2 linked regions of the Oryctolagus cuniculus genome follow. The protein of the gene in region 2 purifies or fractionates together with the protein of the main gene of each other region. This does not show direct contact. Links are inferred from orthologs where the notes say so. Each region holds a gene or a part of one and is shown on either strand. Other genes may lie near its edges.

Region 1 (11,426 bases), on a different chromosome or scaffold from region 2:
GTCGCCTCCTTGGGCTCCGACTACCCCCTGGGACGTGGACCCCTGGGCTGTGGTTACACACACCTGGAAGAGTCAGGGAACCAGCACGCACCTGAGCCACCTGTGCAGGTGCAGGAGGGGAGTATGGCTGGAGAACACCTTGGGGGCCCCAGCTCCCTTCCAGCCCAGAGGCGCACCCGGGGGCACTGCCTCTCCAGGAAGGCTGAGCCTGAGCCGCCTGCCAGGAGCCTGTGGAAGGCGCAGGTGGGAGCCCAGCGTCTGCTGCCCCCTGCTGAGCGCTGGGGCGCACTGCCCTGGGATGAGAGGCGGGAGCAGCAGGGGCACCTCCCTCCCTGGTGCCCAGATTGTGTGGGGCTCCGTGTGCAAGGGTATCCCGGGCCACTTGGGGGGGGGGCAATGCTGTGACTCACCTGCTTCAAATAAAAAGCTCCACCCCCTTCCTGGCTCTCAGGTGTCATCAAGGTGTCTCGTTAAGGACGGAGCAGGGTGGCTGCACAGAAGGGGCCGTATGACTTCCAGACCCTCCTACTCCTCCTGGCCCCTTTCCCTCGGGGGGAGCAGTGGGTAGCCCCAAGGCTGGCTGGCGCTCGGGTCAGGAGTTCATGGTGATGACACTCGGGTGCTGAGCCAGGGTGACTCGTCTTCACCACCTAGGGCTGACTCACTGCCCCCCCAACCCCGTGATCCTGGGGACTGCCCCATTACCTGAGTCTGTCCATCAGCGGGGCCAAGACCAACCCAGCGGTCCCACCTGTCACCCCCGCCCCCACCTCTGCAGGCTGCCCAGCTGGGGCAGCTTCACAGGTCCTGTCCCCATTCTCCCTCTCCATTCTGCATCCCAACGCTATTTCCACATGGGTGCTGTTCTCTGTCCCTTCTCTGCCACAAGCTTTGTCCAAACCCTCCCTCGCCACTCATTGTCTCAGGCCTCCTTGGATGTCATCCCGCCAACCTGCTTCTCACGCCCTTCTCGTGTGGCTGTAAAACATCTTTCCATTACACCACCCCCAGCCCAGGAACCCGCCTCCGCACCCTTGTTCTGCAACAAGTCCACGCCCCTCTGCCCAGCATTAATGTCCCACTGTATGCGTCCAGGGCCCCTTACCATCTCCAACGACGATGGAGGTTAAGACAGCTGGGGATAAAAGGGGAGGGAGGGAGGAGTCAGATGCGGGCTGTCATGGGAATCCAGCCTACGAGCCATCTTTTCATGGGAAATACATATGAGAAAACTGTGCATGCATTTCACATTTTGCATGCATCCAAATAGATGTATCATTTAATTCCATTTTCCCACAAACATTTTCTAAGATCTGCGTGTGAGTAGCGGAGGTCTTGGGAAAAGCACACAGGCATTGTCTGGCAAAACAGGGGCATTGTTGCACGGTCCCTCCCTCTCCACCCAAGGACTTGAGCACGTGGAAAGCTGAGCCAGTGACAGGATGGGGAAATGATAACCCCTCAGGCAGGGGTGCCCCGCTGGGTGACCTGGGGCAGGTCACTTTCCCTCTCTGGGCCCCCAGGGACCCTTTCCATTTTCAGGTGTCATTTGCCATGTGGCAAGCACCTGTGAGCAGTGCTGCACAGGGGAAGGAGACTCGAGGTGACAGCCCGGGGGTCACTCTGTTCACATGCTGTGCAGTGGCTGTCACGCTGCGCTCTGGGGTCTAGCTTGTGAGCATGTGGACTTAGGCTTGGCCCCTTCACTTCATGTGAGATCTCAAGGCAGGTCAGCCCTTATGCAAAGCAGATAACAAAACCCATTTTCTGGAGTCCTGATTCTACCAGCTCACTAGCTCCTGACACTTAGCCTATGTGGGTCTCAGTTTCTCCACCTACGAGATGGGTATAATCATGGGATCTACTGGACAGCATCATTCATCACGAGATTTAAGGGCGTTGAATATATATCCATATATGGGAGCCCCTTAGAATAGTGTGCCTGGCACGTAATGTGACTCCTATTGGTCCATGGGAAGCTAGGAGGTGCAGAGGCACACAGAGAGGGCAGCTTTGTGGGAGTGGACAGAGGAGTGGCCAGCTGCGGGCAGGGGCTCCTCGTCCCTCCCCAGTCTCAGAGCCTGCGAGCTTTACGTCCTCTCTGGCCTCAGATGCCAGCCAGCCTGCCCCAAACCACTCCTCGTGAGCGGGTGTCTGCTCTGGGTCGCTGCCTCCTTCTACCTCGCTCGTGTGCTCTCGGCTTCGCAGGCACCCCTCAGTCTTCCCATCCTGGGAACGCCTGCACTGTGGCGTAGTGGGCTAAGCCTCTGCCTGCAGACCGGAACCCATACTGGTGCCGGTTCAAATCCCAGCTGCTCCACTTCTGATCCAGCTCTCTGCTATGGCCGGGAAAAGCAGTAGAAGATGGCCCAAGTCCTTAGGCCCCTGCACCCATGTGGGGAACCTGGAAGAAGTTCCTGGCTCCTGGCTTCGGACTGGCCCAGCTCTGGCCATTATAGCCTTCTGGAGAGTGAACTGGCTGATGAAAGACTTCTCTCTCTGTCTCTCCCTCTATTTGTAGCCCTACCTCTCAAATAAAATGAATAAAAAATAAAATCTTAAAAAAGCAGGGTTAACAGGCTCCCGGCCTGTGTGCGAGAGAGGTTGCCAGGGACAGTGGGCTGAGTGTCCCAGACACGGCGGCATGTGTTGTCCCGGGGAGAGAGAAAACCGGGAGCTCCTCCAGTGGCTGGGAGGCTCCATCTCTCCCTTGACCTCTGCACGCCCAGCTTGGGCCTGGCTGCCTTGGTCACCTGCCCTGGAGCTCATCCCTGTGTCCAGAGAGCTGCTTAGCAACCCTGTGGAACCAAGCCACTGTGTCAACAGCTCAAGGGCAAAGGCCACGCCACTGCCCAGGAGGAGGTGACGGTCCCCAGTCCCCTGCAGCCAGCCTCACGCTGTTCCGTGCTGAGCCCCTTAGACTTCTGCGGGCACCAGCAGGGAGAGCGGGGGGCCTTCGTATGAGGCACCGTCGCAGCCGGGAGGGCTCCGGGTGGACACAGGTGAGCTGCCTTCAGCAGAGGGGGTCAGGACAGGCCTGTGATGCTGAGGTCAAGGGCAGGTTCCAGAAGGCAGCCATGCGGGAGAAGGCTCAAGGCTCCTGTGCACAGCCACCCCCAGGTCCTGGAGCTGGTGCCCTTGGCCAGTGACACAGCCTCCCCCCCGCCCAGGACACCTGGAGATGCATGAGGCTGGCACCTTCCCCAGGGGATCCGCCGCCCCCACCTTTCTTGTCCCTCCAGGGCGGGGGCGGGGGTCCCGGGCCGGTTTCACTGCTGGCTCTCACACCCAGCACCACCATAAAATTGATGCTAATAAGTAGGAGCCTGTAATCACGGGTGTTTATCTCTCCCCAAGACGCCTCCTGCCTCCTCCGCAGGGCTCCCATCAGGACTAAGCCATCTTCTGCAAGGATGCTCTCCTAAAAAGTCCCCATAGCCCCGAGGCAGCTCAGAGCAGCTTGGCTCCCACCCTCGCCTCAGCGCACCACGGGGAGCGGGGACAGTGTTCCCCCGGTGTTCAGAGGGAACATGCCGGAGGGCCTGGGGTTCAAGTCCCGGCTCCTCTGCATCCAATCCAGCTCCCTGCTAATGCCCACTCTGGGAGGTGAGCAGGCAGTGGCTCAAGTACTTGGCCCCCCTGCCACCCACGTGGGAGACCAGACTGAGTTCCTGGCTCCTGGTCTCAGTCTGACCTGGCCACGGCTGTAGCAGGCATCCGGGGAGTGAATCTGCAGATGGAAGATATCTCTCCATTTCTCTGGCTTTCAAATACAATGAAAATGATTTTTTAAAAAAACTAAAATACAAAAGTTCATGGAGAATGGAGTCACACGCTAACACAGTGGGCATTTGGCTTGGCTATTAAGATGCCGATTGGGACATCCCAGTCCACACCACAGCACCTGGGCTAGCTCTGCCTCCTGGACGCAGCAGGTGACTGTTCCAGTAACTGGGTTCCTGGCCCACAGGGAGACCTGGGTTGAATTTCCAGGTTGCAGGTGCAGCCCTGGCCATTGTGGGCATTTGAGGAGTGAACCACCAGAGGGCAGCTCTCCTCCTCCGCTGGGTATTTTCCAGGAGCTTTACGAACACCATGCCTACACCTTCCCCCAGGGAATGTTTCGGTCCACGTCCCCCAGCTCTGGGGCTCCCTCAGCCCCTACTGCTGAGCCGTCAGGGCTGGCAGCAGCAATGAACTCCACAGGGTGAACTTTGTACAAACCCCTGTTGCTCACTGGCTGGGGCACCTCCTAATGGAAAGATTTCTTTTAAAAAGATGTGCTGTATTGATTTGAAAAGCAGAGTGACAGAGAGAGGAGAGAATCTTCCATCTGCTGGCTCACTCTCCAAATGGCCAAGCGTGGGGGACGGGGAGCTCGGGCCAGGCTGAAGCCAGGTTCCAGGTCTCCCACGTGGATGCAGGGACCCAAGCGCTTGGGCCATCTCTCGCTGGTGCATTAGCAGGGAGCTGGATTGGAAGCGGCTTCCAAGCGGATTGAATTGAGCAGCCAGGACTCAAAACGGGGCGGGATCGGTGGCTTAACCGGCTTCGCCACATGCCAGGCCTACGCACCCCACAACTGGCGCGCGCGCGCTCCCAGCTACTGCTTACCTCCCAGGGTACTGACTGGGCAGGCCTGGGGGAGAAGGTGTGGGGGAGCTGGGGGCTCACCGCCACTCTCTGGAATCACCAGTCAGCCCGAGGGTGGCAGGAGGGAACCCCCAAATCGCCTTGAGTCCCTCGGCTTCGCCCCTTCCCCTCGGTCAGCCCAGCACCCTGGGGTGGTAATGGACACTCAGAGGAGCCTTCTCCCAGCAGGTGCCCGAGGGTCCCGGGGAGAGCCCCCGCCCTCCTCAGACGCCGATTCCGTCTTATTTTACAGGGGAGGGGAACGAGGCGAGAGGGAAACACGCGGAGAGAAGCCGGCCCGCCACCGCACTTCTTCCCGCCCGACTGCCGGCCGTCCTCGGCGGCTTCCGCCCCCTGCACCTGTCCTCCCAGGCAGGAGTCGCCCCGAGGCGCGCGGCCCCTTTAAGGGGCGGGCCTCGCGCCGGAGCAAGCCCCGCCCCTCGAGGCCGCACTGCGCCTGCGCCGCCCGCCGGCGCGCTGGGGTTGGGCAGCGCCCAGCGCCGAGCAACTTTCAAGTGAGTCGCAGACTCCGCCCCCGCAGGCCGGAGCCGGTGGCCGGTGGCCGGCGCGGTGGGACCGCGGCGACCCGCAGGCGCGCAGGCTGCGACGTGCCGGCCCCGGGCCGGACTCCCCGCCGCCGGCGACCCCGCACCTGCGCTGACCGGCGCGGCCCCCACGTGGGCGTGTTCCCGGGGCGCTGCCCTCCCCTCCAGCATGGTGTCCTGGATGATCTGCCGCCTGGTGGTGTGAGTACGGCCGCCTGAAGACACCCCCCCCCCACCGCGTCCCCAGGCGCCGCCCGGGGTGTGGTGGGCCGGGGGCCTGGTGGTGGGTCGGGGGCCCTGCGCGCCTCCCCCCTGCACCGCGAGGGGAACGGAGCTGCGGGCAGCCCGCGCACGCTCGGCCCCCTCCCCTGCCCTCCTGGGCTGCTGGCGACCCCTCCCCCCCGGCCCTGCAGACAGGTGCGTGGGCCGGGGGCCCTGCGCTCCTCCCCCCTACACCGCGAGGGGAATGGACTTTGGGCCCTCTCCTGGGCTGCTGGCGACCCCTTCCCCCAAGCCCTGCAAGCAGGTGTGTGGGCTGAGGGCTGCAGGCGGGCACTGCCCCTTGGCGAACGCCCGGTGATATGGCACGTTGTGGGCTGGGCGGGGGAAGCCAGGTGCCTGCCTCCCAGGTGAGCGAGTCACGTGACTCAGCCTCCTGGCTCTGTGCTGCCCGTGCATCCCTGGCTGGTGGCCCTGGGCCCGCTCACATGGCCGTGGGAGCCTGTTGGGTGGCTGTGTCCTGGCTCCGTCGTGCACCCATGGGCCACCGGTGCAGGCCCGGGCAGGCCGGGGCTGTTTGTAAACAGCGGGGTGGGGAGGTGGCCTCCAGGACACTGACTCAGGCACCTCGGGTTGTGCAAGCCAAGCGGGAAAAACAGGGCCGGCGCTGGCACCCGGCACCCCCTCCAAGCAGGGCAGGGTGGGGCCCCTCACCCACCCTGTGCCTCTTCTTCCAGGCTGGTGTTTGGGATGCTGTACCCTGCCTATGCGTCCTACAAAGCCGTGAAGACCAAGAACATTCGTGAATATGTGAGTGGGGCAGGGGCTGAGCTGGCTGCCCCTCCTCCGGGGCGGGGGACAATGACCCAAGTGCACCTGCAGAGACCAGGCCCGGCCACATGGCCGTGGTGCAGGGGAGAGGGTGCCACCCACCGCGGGGCTCCCGTGGGCAAGGTGTGTGAAGGCTGAGCTGGTCGCCCCTCCTCCGGGGCGGGGGACAATGACCCAAGTGCACCTGCAGAGACCAGGCCCGGCCACGTGGCCGTGGTGCAGGGGAGAGGGTGCCGCCCACCGCCGGGGCTCCTGTGGGCGAAGCCGGCCAGGGGTGTGTGCAGGGCTGAGCAGCACCGGGGAACGCAGCAGTGCAGCAGGGCGGGCTCTGTGGAATCCAGGCTGGGCCAGACAGGGCCAGGCCTGGCTTGGCCGCTGACCCCCGCCCTGCCTGCCCGCCCACCCGCAGGTCCGCTGGATGATGTACTGGATCGTCTTTGCCATCTTCATGGCGGCCGAGACCTTCACCGACATCTTCGTCTCCTGGTGCGGGCATGGGGTGTTTGCGGGGCAGGGGTGGCCCACAGGCCACGCGCGCCTCCCGGCTCACCTGTGCCCCCGCCCCCACCAGGTTCCCCTTCTACTACGAGATCAAGATGGCCTTTGTGCTGTGGCTGCTGTCGCCCTACACCAGGGGAGCCAGCCTGCTCTACCGCAAGTTTGTCCACCCGTCCCTGTCCCGCCACGAGAAGGTACCCGCCCCCGCCCCGGGGACCCCCTCAGGGTTGGCAGAGGCGGGGGCAGGCGCCTGAACCGCCCTGGTCGCCTGGGTCCACAGGAGATCGACACGTACATTGTGCAGGCCAAGGAGCGCAGCTACGAGACAGTGCTCAGCTTCGGGAAGCGGGGCCTCAACATCGCGGCCTCGGCCGCCGTGCAGGCCGCTGCCAAGGTGCCCTGGGCAGCCCCGCCCCAGCAGGATGTGCATACCCCGCCCCGTGCCCCCCATCCTGAGCAGGACATGCAGTCCCCCCACCCCCGCCCTGAGCAGGATGTGCAGCCCCCCCAACCCCGCCATGCTAAGCAGGAGTGACCTTGACCTAAGGTTGCCAAGTTGCCGCGTGTGGGTGTGCTCACAGGCGCATGCACCAGTGGGTGGTGGACGGTCAGCCCCGGCCGGCTCCGCCCCCTGAGTGCCCTCCCTGGCTCCCGCCCACACAGAGCCAGGGCGCGCTGGCCGGCCGGCTGCGGAGCTTCTCCATGCAGGACCTGCGCAGCATCCCGGACGCCGACGCCCCCGCCCCCGGCTACCAGGACCCCCTCTACCTGGAGGACCAGGTTCCCTGCAGGAGGCCTCCCATCGGTGAGTGGGCAGAGGGACGGCCGAGAGCCGTGGCCTCCCCCATGGCTGGCTGCTGGAAACCCCGCGTCAATGCCCGTCCTGGCCTCCCCTGGGCCTGCTCTCCCTACAGGGTACCGGGCCGGGGGCCTGCAGGACAGCGACACAGACGAGGAATGTTGGTCGGACACGGAGGTCGCCTCCAAGCCGCCTGCCCGGCCCAGAGAGAAGCCGCTGAGCCGCAGCCAGAGCCTGCGGGTGGTGAAGAGGAAGCCGCCCACGCGGGAGGTCGGTGGAGGAGGGTGTGGGGAGGGGGAGGGGGCTCTGCCAGCCCTGCCAGCCCTCCCCTCTCACTGGGTGCCTGCTCTCCCCCACCCCCAGGCCACCTCGCGCTCCCTGAAGGTTCGGACAAGGAAAAAGACGGTGCCCTCTGACATGGACAGCTAGGGTCAGCAGAGGCTGGCCTGCTCTTGCCTTGTGCCCTGCAGGGCACCTGTGCCAGCCACCTGCTGGCTGAGAGCTGCTGGTGCCAGGGGCCCTGCGTCAGGGCACCCACACTGTACCAAAGCGGGCTGGCCCACGATCCTATTTATTGCCTCCCCCTGGGTGTGGGACCAGGACCCTCTCTGACCAAAGCTGCCCCCAGCTGCCTGTGTTCATTCCTTCCGAGTGCTTGACAGCCTTTGTCCCAAGGCCTGGTGTGCGTGGTGAGTCCCGGCTGTGTGGTTTGTGTCGGCGAGTGAGGTCAGGCTTGTGAATGTTTTGTTAAATAAATACAGAAAGACCTTGTGTTTTCTCCCGATGGGTCTCCCACGCCTCACATCACACACACTCAGCTGAGCAGCCTGCGGCTGGCCCGGCACAGCCTGGGGTTTGGAATGCGGGGGACACGGAGCCATGGACAGCGCCACGCGGTGTGCTCCCAGGGAGCACCAGGGACACTTGGGGCGGCTGTCTGAAGGGGAGTCGCAGTCTAAGAAGCCTCCAGTTAGGAGGGGATGGGGACGGGGCCTGACCTGTGGGGGTGTGGGAGTAGGCCCTGCAGGGAGAGGTGGGGAGGGAGGCCGGCAGGTGCCTCCTGGGACGCTGGGTTCTCTTACCCGGAAGGGCAGCAGTGCCTTCTGAGGAGTGGCCACAGGAGGGCAGCAGCTGCCTCGCTCTGTTCTGCCCTCAGCTCCCAGGTCAAGGAGGGCGGTGCTGGGAGACTGGCCAGAGCCCCGCCCTGCCGGGCCTGGCTGCTGGCTGGCTGCAGGAACCATGCAGAATCCGGCGTGGCCTCCATTGGCCCTCCCTGCTGTTTGTGGTCACTGGTCCTCGGCCTGCGCCATCCACAGAGCCTCCCCTGCCCCCCCGGGAGCCAGGCTGCTTGCCTGGGCTGGCTGCGTGCCTGCAAGCTCTGGGGTCAGCCAGCGCTGGCTCTGCCCCCGCCACCCTTGGACTCCGCTGGGCTGCACGCCGTGCCCGGGACTGCTCTTCCTTCCTGCTCTGGGTTAAGCAAAGAAGTGGGGGAGAATGAGAGGAAGGGAGACAAGGTGGCAGCCCGGGGAGGCCCGGGGGAGTACGGATTAACTCCTGGCGTGGGGATTATCCGGGGTTTACTTGGAGGTGGCACCTGACCTGCCGGGCGCTTGGGCTGCTGGCGCACTGGTGCTCGGCCGCGTCCTTCGTGGCCGTGTCTCGGGTCCGCGGGGCTGTCTCCTCATCACGTTCATGTTCTCAGACAATGTTGATCATCATCAAGCATCTGCCAGGCCAGGGACAAGTCAACACTGTAGGGAGGCGGGGACTAGTAATGGCCGCCCCGAGCCCCTGCCCTGGCCAAGGGGCACAGAGGACGCGAGTGATTTGCCTGAGGTGGCACAGCTAGTGAGAGAACGAGGCTTTGAACCAGGCCGTCTGGCTCAAGTCTGCACTTAATCACTGTGCAGGCAGGACCAAAGACAACAAGGTGTTTCTTGCCTGGGAGGCAAAGAGCAGGAGGCTAACGTGTATGGTACATCTGTGAAATCCTCCCAACAAGCCAGGCAGGTTGAGGCCATACCCATTTTACAGATGAAAAACTGAGGCTCGGAGAGAGCTGCAGGAACTTGTCCCCAGTCGCTCGGCCCCCGAGCTCCAGGGACGCCGCCTCCTGCTGGAAGTCAGCCCGGGAGGTGGAATGGCGGAGTCTGCCCAGGGGAATTAAAGGCAGAGCGTGTACTGCCCAGGTCAAGTGCAGCACGCATGCAGGAGAAGGGGGAGTTGGGGTGAGGCCTGGGTGTGGGGCGGGAGGGGGCTTCCTCCTCCCGCATTGCTAGGAAGGCTGTGCAGAGCAGGCAGCGAGGGCTCCTGGCTGGGTTGGTGGTGCCCCCATGTTATCCACCAGGGTCTCAGGGTTCCGGGGCTGGGCCTGCTCTCCCTCCTCCCCGCCCAGCTCTCACACAGACACCGTCTCCCCGCGCCCCCCGGGGAGCCCTCTGCCGTCCCCCTGCGGCCTTGCTTCCAGAGGGCACACCGCCCCCGGTCTGGCAGGGACCTCTTTGCGTCAGGCCTTGTACTCTCTCCCCCACCCCAGGGGTCTTCCTCACCATTCTGTCCCCGCCTGGAATACACGGTCTCCCCAAGGGGTGACTGGTGGGTGATGGCGTGTGAGTAGCTCTGCTCACCCCCTGATTTCTGTGCTGGTCACCGGGTCTGACTCCACAGCGAGACCAGCCTCTTGTTGTTTGCTGGTAGGAGCGACCATGCTGGGTGCCTTGCGCTCTGTGGCCCGCCAGAGCCTGAAAAATGCCCTGGGTTTGGTGAATGGCTGACTGCCGTTGTCCAAGTTCCAGGCCATCCGAGGCCAGAGGGGAAGGAGCGACCACAAGTCCAAGGGCTCCACGGGGCGTTTCTGGCCAAGCGGACATGTGACCCCGAGGCTGGGGTGCCGGGGCTTCCCTCTGAGCCGGTCCGGCCCCCAACTTCTACCCAGCTGTCCCGATGGGGCCCCTGTACTCCGGCTGGGTGGGGGGCTGAGGCCAGCGAGTCCAGCCCCTGCAGAGCCACACACCAGGTCCCCTGCAGCCGCCCCTGCCCACCTGGCCTGCCCTTGGCTCGAGCACCTCCCAGGTGTCTCATCCACCTCCCTGTGCTTCCCGGTCTGGGGCTCCTGGGGTCCTGCCTCTGGCCTCCGGGTCATGGCTCACACTGGCCCGCATGGCTGTATTTTTAGCCACCACTCGCAGCAACCTGATGAGGCCTCTGGTTCCAGCACAGCCTTGGCCGGGCCTGGGCCTGGGCCCCGCTCCTGCCCACCTCCAGGGGGGCCAAGTGACCACTCAGGTCTCTGAGCCCCCTCCCCCCACCCAGCCTCAGGGACTGGGGGTGCCCAACAGTTGGGTAGGGGGCGACACCCGGGGGCAGGGAGGAGGGCTGGCTGCCTCCAGCCAGAGCCAGGGACACCAGGGAGAGTCCCTGGCCTTGGGCAGAAGGGAGAGGGCTTTCTCTCCTGGGTGAGAGGGGAGGGCTCCAGACAGGAATTGGGTCAAGGATGTGGGTAGGTGGGTGTGGGGGGGGTGGCCTAGGCCACAGAGCTTCCTCCTGGCTCCCAGAGCATGTCCACACTTCCCCCCCGCCCCTCCCCCAGGTCCTGGGAGAATCCCCCCGGGACTCCCCCTCCCCCGGGGTGGGGGCAGGGTGGGGGGAGGCCAGACTCAGCTGTCTGGAGCATGGAGGGGCTGGGGAAGCAGGGCTAGGTGCCCAGACGGCCGCGTGTGTGGGAGGGAATGTCCTCAGATGCCCTCAACCCGGCAGTCCCCGCTCTGACGTGGGTGCCCCCCCTCCCCGCACGGATTAGTGGCAGCTTTGGCCTGGCTCTCCGGGGCTCCTGTCCCCCGCCCCGCCTGCCGCCCACCCCCGGGCAGGGGGCTGCTCACCCGCCCGAGGGGCACAGGGCTGGC
Region 2 (11,087 bases):
GGGCCCCTGCCACCCATATGGGAGACGCTGATGGAGTTCCTGGCTCCTGGGTTTGACCTGGCCCAACCTTGGCTGTTGTGGCCATCTGAGGAGGAAACCAATAAATCCACCTCTTCTTTGAATTTCAAATCAATCAATCTTAAAAAAAAGACAACAAGTAAAACATTTTCCAGCAACTGTTATCAGCATGAGAACTCTCCAAGTGAAGACAACCGTAAATACGTCAACTCTGGAATTCATATGTGACCCATTTAACTGGAGGCTGCCACAGCCCAGTAGGCCTTCTATCCATGGTAGGCTCATCTCCTTTTATTTGTCATTAAGGTTTATTTTTTCTTATTTCTAAAGGAAACAAGAAAAAATAAAAATGAAATTAGTACATCTCTATTTATGAAATAGTCCTCTGCCAAAAAAATATTTTTGTGAACCTGCATCTGATCAAGCCTTCAGCTCCAACTGCCATTTACAGGGAATTACAGAGCAGAAGGGAGCGTGGCTAAGCCACAGGGCAAAGTCAGCACATCCAGTCGGTGCTACGCGTCACAGGACCGAGGGCTTCGTCAGCATGACAGCCGCCAGCACAGCGCAGGGGCCGCATCTGATTCCCAACTCAAGCTGGTTTTTAAAAAACCAAAGTATCAGTTACATTAATGAGAAAACAGGACAGCTGAACTGTGACCAGAAATTGCTAGTATTTTCACTTGTGGTGATGGTAGTAGTTTCTTTTAAAAAGCCTATTTTTCAGACATATTTACAGATTAAATGATATTATACCCAGGATTTGCCTCAAAATGATACAGAGGGCGTGGAAAAAGAATCAGAAGACACAAAATTGGCCATAAATCAGAAAAACTTTAAGTAGGGTACATGTTAGCCCATCCCTAAAAGTTAGAGACCGTCACCCACATACTCTAAAATGTGGGCAGAGATTATTCCCGTCATTAAAAAAAATCCATATATAAGGTCACTGTGGAAGTAAATGACATACCTGGTTTTAAAACCTTTTCACTTCATAATACACAGACATGTTTTTCCACGTTGCCAGAAAAGCATGAAGAACTTTTAAAATGACTACACTATGTATATAACATTAAAGTCCCTAATTAAACTCAGATGTTTCCAGTTTCTGATATAATGAAGAAAAGCTGGACTTCATCTTGTTGAGCAGGAATCTCTGTCCCTGTGATTAACTACCTTAAGAGGAATTACTGACTCAAAAGGCATTAACTTTTCAAAATAACAGCTTTATTGGCAGAGACTGCATTCGGTAAACCTCACCATATTACATGAATTCAACAGTTTGTAGTATAGTCACAGAGCTGTGTAACTATCACCATTATCTAACGTTAGAACATTTTCATCACCCCAAAAGAAACCCTTATGCACCGACGACTCGTGTCCCTAGCCCTGGAAAAGCTATGAACTTTCAAAGTATCCCCGCACAAGCTGCCAGACTACTGAGGAAGGCTGCAACTGAAGTTCCTGCCAGCCAGGGCCCACTTTACCGTATTTGCCGAATTAAATATTATCACATTTCAAACTGGATACGCAGAAATTAGAAACTCATTGCCACTCAAATTTTTTAATTGCTCCCAAGAGTGAAATCTTAGATAATCACTGATTTCCCCCCTTTTGTAAACTGCACCTCCACTTTGAAAGGGGATAAAAACCCAATTAAACTATCATTCTAAGGAAGCAGAGCAACCTGGTATCCAGAAAGATTGTGAGACATTCTAGGACCAAATGCACTATTTTCTAGTTAATATACCGCAGTTCCAGACCGTTAGTGCAGGTACGTTAGGGTTCATTAAAATCAGAAGAGATGGCCAAATGCCTGTTTTCAAGCAAAGCAAAGAAGATGGCATTTCTTGGTCCCTTTGTTAGGGCAGAGCGAGTGTCTCAGTGGCACTTCAGAACAAAGCTTCCCAGCCTACAGGGACAGTCGGCCCATTATTGTACTGCACTTGTCACTGCCTGCTTAATGAACCAGTCACTGGTGATTTAGCAGCAAAGAATTAACCCAGCCTACATCACGTAATGATAGTTGCTGCTCGCACAAAACCAGAAATGAAACCACCTCGCTGCTCCTGCCCCGCGGGATGCTAATGAAGAGAAAGCAGCACCCTTGCAACGAGGACAGCCGACCTGCGCAAACTAAACCGAGGCCGCCTAGGGAGGCCCCCGCTGCCCAGGGCAACAGAAGCCCTCCAAACCCACCATCAGGGACACCTGCTCAGCTGTGTCCATCCACAATTCCACGAGTAACTGTTTCTTCCCACAGAAATCACACTTAAGTGGCCCTAATCGTCCATTTCCTCTTCCCCACTTCTGTTTTTCATCCAAATTCTAACCTTTTAAAACACAATTTTTGTATACCCTTAATCATTCAAGTCAGTTTTTTAGAGGGAAGAGGGCCCCCCTTTTTTTTCATTTGTGGAAACAACAGATTGCCCGCCAGTCCCCAGAAGCACAGCACAGCACAGCACAGCAGGGCCCAGCCTGCAGACTGCTGTCAGGATCCCCAGTTCACAGCCCACCCAGGATCACAGGAAGGAAAGGAGCTGGTGGTCGCCCAGCCCTGCCGGAGCGGAAGGGGAGCAGGGGGCCTGGAACTCATGCTCCTGTCCAGCGCTCGTCTGCCCTCCCCTGACAGCCAGGAGTATGACCCAACACCCAAGACTTAGTTGAACCTGTTCTTTCCTGATCCTGCCAGGACGCACGCTGGCTGTGGAGTTCTTCCCCCAGGTCTCTCAGTTACAGCTGGGGTGGAGGCTAATGAAAATGCAAGCGATCAGTCCAGAGCCAAGAACAGAGGCTGAGTGACCAGAAGTAACCCAGGCGGGAAGATTTCTGATAATTTACCATACCGTACTTGCTCTGCAACCAGAGAGATAGAAAGAACGAAACGAAAGCACTGAAACACTCCAGCTGCTGGGACCTGAGCCGATCTCTAGCTCTGACGGTTTTGTTTTTAAGATGGAAGGGGGCACAGACACAGGTACAGGAAGCCATGACAGGGAACACGGAGCACTGAGAGGTAAGAGATACCCACCTGAATCTGACTCCTATCCAATCTTCTAATGTTTCAAAAATGCCTAAAACACCCCAGTAAATGATGTGCCATTACTCACAACAGATAATGAAAGAACCGTGAAGCATTTCAGATTTGATTTTTCTAGTCCAAGTTGATGCTCCTCCCTTTCCTAAACATTTAAAATGCCTGAGAGGGGCCAGCGTTGAGGAGTTCCAGGTAATGCTGCTGCCTGCTGTGCTGGCATCCCATATGGGCACCAGTTCGAGTCCTGGCTACTCCACTTCCGATCCAGCTCTCTGCTCTGGCCTGGGAAAGCAGTGGAAGATGGCCCAAGTGCTTGGGCCCTGCACCCACACAGGAGACCCTGAAGAAGCTCCTGGCTCCTGGTTTCGGATCAGCGCAGCTCCGGCCGTTGTGGCCATTTGGGGAGTAAACCAGCAAATGGAAGACCTCTCTCTCTCTCTCTCTCTCTCTCTCCCTCCCTCCCTCCCTCCCTCCCTCCCTCTCGGCCTCTGCCTCTGCCTCTGTAACTGCCTTTCAAATAAATAAATCAAACTAAAAACCAAAACAAACAAACAAAAAACCCACAACTCTTGTTTCTCCCTCAAGTCACGCCCTCACTTCGCCATATCTCCCCACCTTCCTGGGGTGTGATGGGAATGTAGCCAGTATGGTGTTCGGGATACCCAGCTGCAAGGCCAATGATAAAGACCGATGCCAGCAATGCTTTAAGAGTCAGGAGGACAAAAAGGGGCTCTGGGTGAGAGTCTAAACAGCACTGTAAGCTTGAGGACATCCTACCCACGGCCAGCAAACTAAAGGTCAAGGGGTGGCCCAGGCAGAGCAGTTACCTGCAGGCAAACCTCCACCTCACGTCTGCTTCAGAAACCTCTCAGGAAAGGCATGTGTGAAGCCCCCACCTCAGAAACAACATCTATGCCAACAACTGCTTATTTGCATTAATCAAGTTTTGGTTTAAAATTCATTTAAATCAGAGGCAAGCATTAGGCCCAGAGGTTAAGACGCTGCTTGGGACGCCTGATCCCATATCAGACAACCTGGGTTTGCATCCCAGCTCAGCTCCCAATTCCACCTTCCTGCTAATGCACACTCTGGACTCAAGTCCCCTGACATCCATGTGGAAGGCCTGGGTTAAGTTCTGGGTTCCTGGCTTTGGTCTGGCCCAGTTCCTGGCCCACTGCAGGCAATTGGGGAGTGAACCAGAGGTTGGAAGATCCCTCTGCCTTTCAAATAAAAATAAATAAAAATTTAAAACTCAGGGCCCGCATTGTGGTGTAGCAGGTAACACTGCTGCCTGCAATGCTGGCATCCCATGTGGCTGCTAGTTGGAGTCCCAGCTGCTCCACTTCCAATCCAGCTGCCTGCTTGTGTTCCTGGGAAAGCAGTGGAAGATGGCCCAAGTGCTTAGGCCCCTGCAACCACACAGAAGACTCAAAAGAAGCTCCTGGCTCCTTGCTTCGGACCAGCCCAGCTCCAGCCATTGCAGCCACTTGGGAAGTGAACCAGCAGATGCAAGATCTCTGTCTCTCCCTCTCTATAACTCTGCCTGTCAAGTAAACAAATAAATACATTTTTTTTGACAGAGTTATAGACAGTGAGAGAAAGAGACAGACAAAAAGGTCTTCCTTCCATTGGTTCACCCCCAAATGGCCGCTACAGCTGGCGCTGCGCCTATCCAAAGCCAGGAGCCAGGTGCTCCCTCCCGGTCTCCCACGAGGGTGTAGGCACCCAAGCACCTGGGCTATCCTCCACTGCCTTCCCGGGCCACAGCAGAGAGCTGGACTGGAAGAGGAGCAGCTGGGACTAGAACCCGGTGCCCATATGGGATGCCGATGCTGCAGACGGAGGATTAACCAACTGAGCCACGGTGCCGGCCCCCAAATAAATACATTTTTTAAAAAAGATTTAAAACTTATTTAAGGGGCTGCCGTGTGCTGTAGCAGGTTAAGCCACCACCTGCCACACAGCACCCCATATGCGCACTGGTTCAACTCCCAGCTGCTGGGCTTCTGATCTAGCCCCCTTGCTAACGCACCTGGGGAAAACAGCAGATAATGGCCCAAGTGCTTGGGCCCCTGCGTCCATGTAGGAGACCCAGATAGAGTTCCTGGCTCCTGGTTTTAGCCTAGCCCAGCCTGGCCCAGCCTGGCCATTGCCGTCATTTGAGTGAACCACCGAATGGAAGATCTCTGTTTCTGTCTCTCTCTCTCCTTCCCTGTAATCCTGCCTTTCAAATAAATAAATCTTAAAAAAAAAAAAAAAAAAAACTCATTTAAATCCTCATGAAGATTTTTTTTTCCCATCAGCCAGTCATACTGACACAAATTCGTTTTATGAGAACTAACGTTCTCCCGAGAGGTATCAAACGCCCGGAATGAGGAGCTAGACATCGAGGGGAAGGAAGTGGGTCCCTCGTGTGGGGGAGGGGAGGTCAAAGAAGCATCACCAAAACACAGTGACTACCGTAGAAGAAAGTTTGTCATCCAGCTTGCTAAGGGCCCTGGAGGCAACAAATCTGCGAGAGACAGCTCTGACACCTTTAACTTGGGGCTCTTGCAGACTGGGAGAGGATTCGCTTCGAAGCTGAACACTGCCTTCCCCGCCAACGAACGTGGAATTATTTGCTCTCCAGCTCACACGCTTTAACTCGAAAATCGAGAATTCCACTGGAAAGCTAGCTTTAAAAACACACACTTTGTTTCAGGCTTGTCCCAAATGGTTTTCATTCAGTTGTCCATGCCAGTTCCCCTGGAGTTGGATCCGTAATACCTCCTTAGTTATTATTAAGTTCAAATTATGCTCGGTACAGCCTATGAACACACAAGTCCCCTGCAGGTGACCAGAGAGGAGTTGTTCGGAGAGCAGGACGCAGCGGTGCCAGTGTCGGCTCTGGTAACGCGCACACACCATCAGCTACCCTCCACCTGCTCGCTTACAAATGCTGGCTGAGGACGCCTCCCTCCCGCGTCCCCCCCACAATCACCAGCTCATCGGTGTCTCTGTTTTGTTTAAAGCTCTGGAGGTTCACACCGAGACGCGGGTTTCACCAACTTCCAGAAGTGGGCGAGCAAACCTCGAACATGCTAATTCACGCGAAGCGCTCCAGCCTGTTTGCTCCCCACACCTCCATCCGGCGCCCGTGCAAGACCTGCCTCCACTCCCGACAGGAACGACTGTGTCCGGGGCCGGTCTGCGCGGCGCCCCTGAGCAGACGGGGAAGGGGAGGCGATGGTCTCAGAGGACCACAGCGCTCCCGAGCTAGGAAGGCGCCCTCGCACAGAGCGAGCGGCTCGAGAGCGTCCCCGCAGCTGCTGCCGGGTGTGCGGGCCGAGGGCGCGGGTGCGGGTCAAGCAGGGGAGACAGCTGGAAGGGCCCCCGGGGGGAACCGGGGCGCCCAAGCCTGGAGGCGGGATGCAGTGGAAGGGGGCGAGGTAGAGAGGCAAGTGCAGAAGGGGCCAGTGCAGCGAGGACAACAGGGCAGGCAAGAGGCAGCGCCCTACGGAAACCTGACGGATTCGCGCCTCGGGGAGTTCCCGAGGGTCCAGTTCTCTCACCAGAAAGCCGCGTTCAGCCCCAGGCACCACAGGGCGCTCCTGGCCGGCCGCTCCCACACCAGGGCTGCCTGCACTCGGCTCAGGAGAGGCTCGTAGGGCCCCAGCACCTCCACCAGGGCCCGTTGCACCGCCTCCACCTGCTGGTCCCGCTCCCAGGAGCCTGACATAGCGCGGCGGCCCCGGAGAGCCGGCCCAGAAGATGGGCCCGGGGCCGCGGCCACCCCCTCTGGCTCCGCCATCTCCCCCCCGGCAGCCACAGCATCCGGGGCCGCGGCCCGACAGTCACAATAACACCGACTGCGCAGACGCGCGCCTTGGCGGCGGAGGCAGGCCTCCGGACCCGCGCGCTTGCGCACAGGCGCCAGCCCGCGCCCGCCGGGAGGCGGGGAGGACGCAGCGTCAGAGCGCGCCGAGCCCGGGCCGGAGCGGCGCACGCGCAGTCTGCTCGGCTGAAGCCAAACGAATAAGGAAGTTCTCATTGGAGCGCAGAAAGTTCGCGGGTGGAGCGGGTGTGCAGCGCCTGCGTCCTGCGGCGAGCGGGCGGACTAGCGGCGGCGTTGCTGGCGGGAGCGGCTGCAACGCCGGTGCCTGAGGAGCGATGCCGAGGGAGATCATCACCTTACAGTTGGGCCAGTGCGGCAATCAGAGTGAGCGACCCTCCGGCCCGTCCGCTCGCCGGGTTGCTGAGGTTCCGTGGGATCCGCCGCCCTTCCCAGAATCGTAATTCTGCGAAAGGCGGGACGTCCCTGACCCAGGGTCCGGTTGCCCTACCCCGAGGGGCCCTCCTTGCCCGGTCGCGAACGTGCAGCCCTTTTCCCCACACACGGGCGAGTCCTCACGCTGACCCCTGTTCCCAGGCGCTCGGTCCCCCAGCTGGCAATCGGAACCTGCCCAGACCCACATATCCTGTTTCTTCCCCCAGTTGGGTTCGAGTTCTGGAAACAGCTGTGCGCCGAGCATGGTATCAGCCCCGAGGGCATCGTGGAGGAGTTCGCCACCGAGGGCACGGACCGCAAGGACGTCTTTTTCTACCAGGTGCCCCCGGCGGCTGGGCCAGGACCCCGGGGGCCTGAAGGGACGGGGCAGGGGCTGGTGCTGGGGAGCCCGCTGGGCACAGGGCCCCGCGGCTGGCTCGGGGAGGGAGGCCCGGCAGGAGCCCGAGTGGGACTGGACTGGGGCCTGGGCCGGCGGTGGCGCCGGCTGACGGGGCCGCCCCTTCCCGGCCTCTCGCTGGCAGGCCGATGATGAGCACTACATCCCGCGGGCCGTGCTGCTGGACCTGGAGCCCCGGGTGATCCACTCCATCCTCAACTCTCCCTACGCCAAGCTCTACAACCCGGAGAACATCTACCTGGCTGAGCACGGAGGAGGAGCTGGCAACAACTGGGCCAGTGGATTCTCCCAGGTCATTTGCTATTCCCTGGCACCACCTACAGCTCCCTACGTGGGGAGAAGCCCTGTGACTTCCCAGAGAGATGGAGAAAGACCAGGGATGTGTGAGCGCTGGAGGGAGAGAGACACAGGCTATGGGGTTAAACGTGTGACACAGGTATCATGAGGAGCAGCCGTAGTCCTACCTGCCAGGCTCTTCCAAGCGCTTTCCATGTGCTTGGTTATGTAAAGCTCCCAGCACCTCCAGAGATGGGCACTACAGGCCCACAGCATGTGATCTGCCTTTCCGGAATCCAGAAAACTCAGAAAGTGCAGGTTTATAACTCACTTAGCAGCAAAAAACATACCTCAGTGGAAACAGGCTATTTTATAGGGTTTTTAAAAAATGTATTTGGGCCGGCGCCACAGCTCAATAGGCTAATCCTTCCCCTGCGGTGCCGGCACCCCATCCGGGTCCCAGTCGGGGCACCGGATTCTGTCCCGGTTGCCCGTCTTCCAGGCCAGCTCTCTGCTGTGGCCCGAGAAGGCAGTGGAGGATGGCCCAGGTCCTTGGGCCCTGCACCCGCATGGGAGACCAGGAGAGGCACCTGGCTCCTGGCTTCGGATCAGTGCGGTGCACCAGCTGCAGCGTGCCAGCCACAGCGGCCATTGGAGGGTGAACCAACGGTAAAGGAAGACCTTTCTCTCTCTCTCCCTCTCTCTCTCACTGTCCACTCTGCCTGTCAAAAAAAAAAAAAAATGTATTTGAAAAGCAGAGTATCATTGAGAGATGGGTAGAGAGAGATCTTCCATCCACTGATTCATTCCCCAAATTGCCCCAACAGCCATAGCTGGGCCAGACGGAAGCTAGGAGCCAGTAGTGGGAGGGAGATACCAAGATCTTTCCTGTGGTTCACTCCCCAGATGGTCACAAACAGCCAGGGCTGGTCCAGGCTGAAGCTAAGAGCCAGGAACTCCACCCTGGTCTCCCGCGTGGTGTCAAGGGCCCAACTGCTTGGGCCCTCATCTGCTTTCCCAGGCACATTAGGAGGAAGCTGGATGGGAAGCAGAGCAGCTGAGACTGCGGGATGCTGGGTCGCAGGCAGAGGCTTGGCCCACAGCACCACAACGCTGGCCCCAGTTCCAAAGACTGTAGATAAGGGCCTGTGGGCCTGTGTTACTCCTTCCATTGTATAGGTCCAGAAAAGGGCAGAGTAACCTGCCCGGAGTCACTTAGCTGCATGGGACAAGAGGTAACGTGTGAACCCAGGTAATCAGAGTGGAGGACTTGTGACCTCCGTGCTGTGTAGCCTCTCGAGGCAGGTAAAAAGGCAGCTGCGCTCCCGAAACAGACTCGGTGGTACCGGAGGGGAACTGAGGATGGCTGCTGTGTGAGCGGTGTTGTCCCTCAGTCCTGTGCACGCTGACCCTCCCCGTGTCTGCACAGGGAGAGAAGATCCACGAGGACATCTTTGACATCATAGACCGGGAGGCGGATGGCAGTGACAGTCTGGAGGTGAGTGTCGCAGGAGAGCCGGTGGGAAGGCTCGGTAGCACCCTGACGAGCCCCTGTTGGGCACAAGACCCACGTGTGTGCCCTCTGCACTGGACAGAAGCCACGGGCCTTCCCGAAGACAAGGCAGAGTCCCCCAAGCTGTAAGGGCACTGGAAGGAAAGGGAGGGCTTGAGAAGATAGGAATCCAAGAAATGATGGGATGGATCAAGTTTGAAATCCTGGACTCCGCCCCTTCTTCACGCAGGGCTTCGTGCTGTGTCACTCCATCGCTGGGGGGACAGGCTCTGGCCTGGGCTCCTACCTCTTGGAACGGCTGAATGACAGGTAGGAGCCCGAGAGGCCCTGCGGGGAAGCCTCCCCGTCCGCTGCAGCGGGCAGAGCCTTGCTGTGTTTAGTGAGGAGAGTGGAGCCACTGTTGAGAACCCAACTGCACTCCCAGCAGTGGGTAGAATCTGGGCCCTGGCCGAAGGTCCAGAGGGTGTGGCCAGGTTGGGAGTTGGAACCCTAGGCACCAGGGTGTCTCTCTGCCCTTCCTCCTTTCGGGCTGCAGGGTTTCAATGTCAAGTCTCCCTTCTCTGTGTCTCGGGACCCCATCTGCTTCCCTGTGGACCAGTAGCGGCGTCGATCTGTTGCGTGGATACTCTGTTCCTGCCCCCCTCAGGTACCCCAAGAAGCTGGTGCAGACCTACTCGGTGTTTCCCAACCAGGACGAGATGAGCGACGTGGTGGTCCAGCCCTACAACTCGCTCCTCACACTTAAGCGGCTGACTCAGAATGCGGACTGCGTGGTGAGTCCTGGTGTCTACTTGTCCCCACTCCCAACCCCTGTCCATTTAATCACTTTCGTGTATTTAAAATGTCTGTTATGTCTCATCAAAGTGGCATGTACCAATGCCATCTCACTAGTCAAAGTGATCAGTTTCAGTTCATAATTGATCATAATGATAGGATTAAGTGTCTAGGGGTCACATAAATAAGACTAGTGTCTGCTAATACTAACTGATAGAATTAAAAAGGAGAGAATGATCCAACATGGGAAGCGGGATACACAGCAGACTCATAGAATGGCAGATGTCCTCAACAGCACTCTGACCTCAGAATCAGCCCTTAAGGCATTCAGATCTGGCTAAAAAGCCCATGAGAGTGTTTCAGGCATAGAAAGCCAAGACACTCTGGCAAAAAAAAAAAAACCTAAATGAAAGATCTCTGTGAGTGAGATCCCAGCAGAAAGAACAGGCCATCAAAGAAGGAGGTACCTTTCTCTGAAGGGAGGAGAGAACGTCCACTTTGACTATGGCCTTGTCTAAATAAGATAGGAGTTGGCGAACTCAAGAGGCTTCCATAGCCTTGGCAACTCATGACAAGAGCCTCGGGTGATTACTGATGCCATAAACAAGAGTGTCAATTGTTAATTCAATAACAGGAGTCACTGTGCACTTACTCCCCATGTAGGATCTCTGTCCTTAATGTGTTGTACTATGTGAGTTAACTGTATAACTAGTACTCAAACAGTACTTTATACTTTCTGTTTCTATGTGGGGGCAAACTGTTGAAATCTTTACTTAATATATATAAATTGATCGTCTGTATA

The links.
Region 1: the proteins of RETREG3 (region 2) and REEP4 purify together in Homo sapiens (affinity purification with mass spectrometry; 3 studies listed by BioGRID and IntAct, with this or other methods). This does not show direct contact. The link is inferred for Oryctolagus cuniculus from reciprocal best matches to the Homo sapiens genes RETREG3 and REEP4.

What each region holds. Positions count from the first base shown.
Region 1 is NC_091439.1:1,163,260-1,174,685, forward strand, and holds REEP4 (receptor expression-enhancing protein 4), read left to right. Parts: upstream 1-5,126; 5' UTR 5,127-5,346; coding exon 5,347-5,378; intron 5,379-6,133; coding exon 6,134-6,206; intron 6,207-6,636; coding exon 6,637-6,713; intron 6,714-6,798; coding exon 6,799-6,919; intron 6,920-7,005; coding exon 7,006-7,119; intron 7,120-7,388; coding exon 7,389-7,530; intron 7,531-7,639; coding exon 7,640-7,794; intron 7,795-7,887; coding exon 7,888-7,953; 3' UTR 7,954-8,295; downstream 8,296-11,426. UniProt on the Homo sapiens protein: Microtubule-binding protein required to ensure proper cell division and nuclear envelope reassembly by sequestering the endoplasmic reticulum away from chromosomes during mitosis.
Region 2 is NC_091448.1:20,271,446-20,282,532, reverse strand, and holds the start of RETREG3 (reticulophagy regulator 3), read right to left. Parts: upstream 6,968-11,087; 5' UTR 6,849-6,967; coding exon 6,610-6,848; intron 1-6,609. Other genes in the region: tubulin gamma-1 chain, read left to right, coding at 7,208-7,256, 7,532-7,644, 7,847-8,014, 9,428-9,496, 9,741-9,820, 10,158-10,284. UniProt on the Homo sapiens protein: Endoplasmic reticulum (ER)-anchored autophagy regulator which exists in an inactive state under basal conditions but is activated following cellular stress.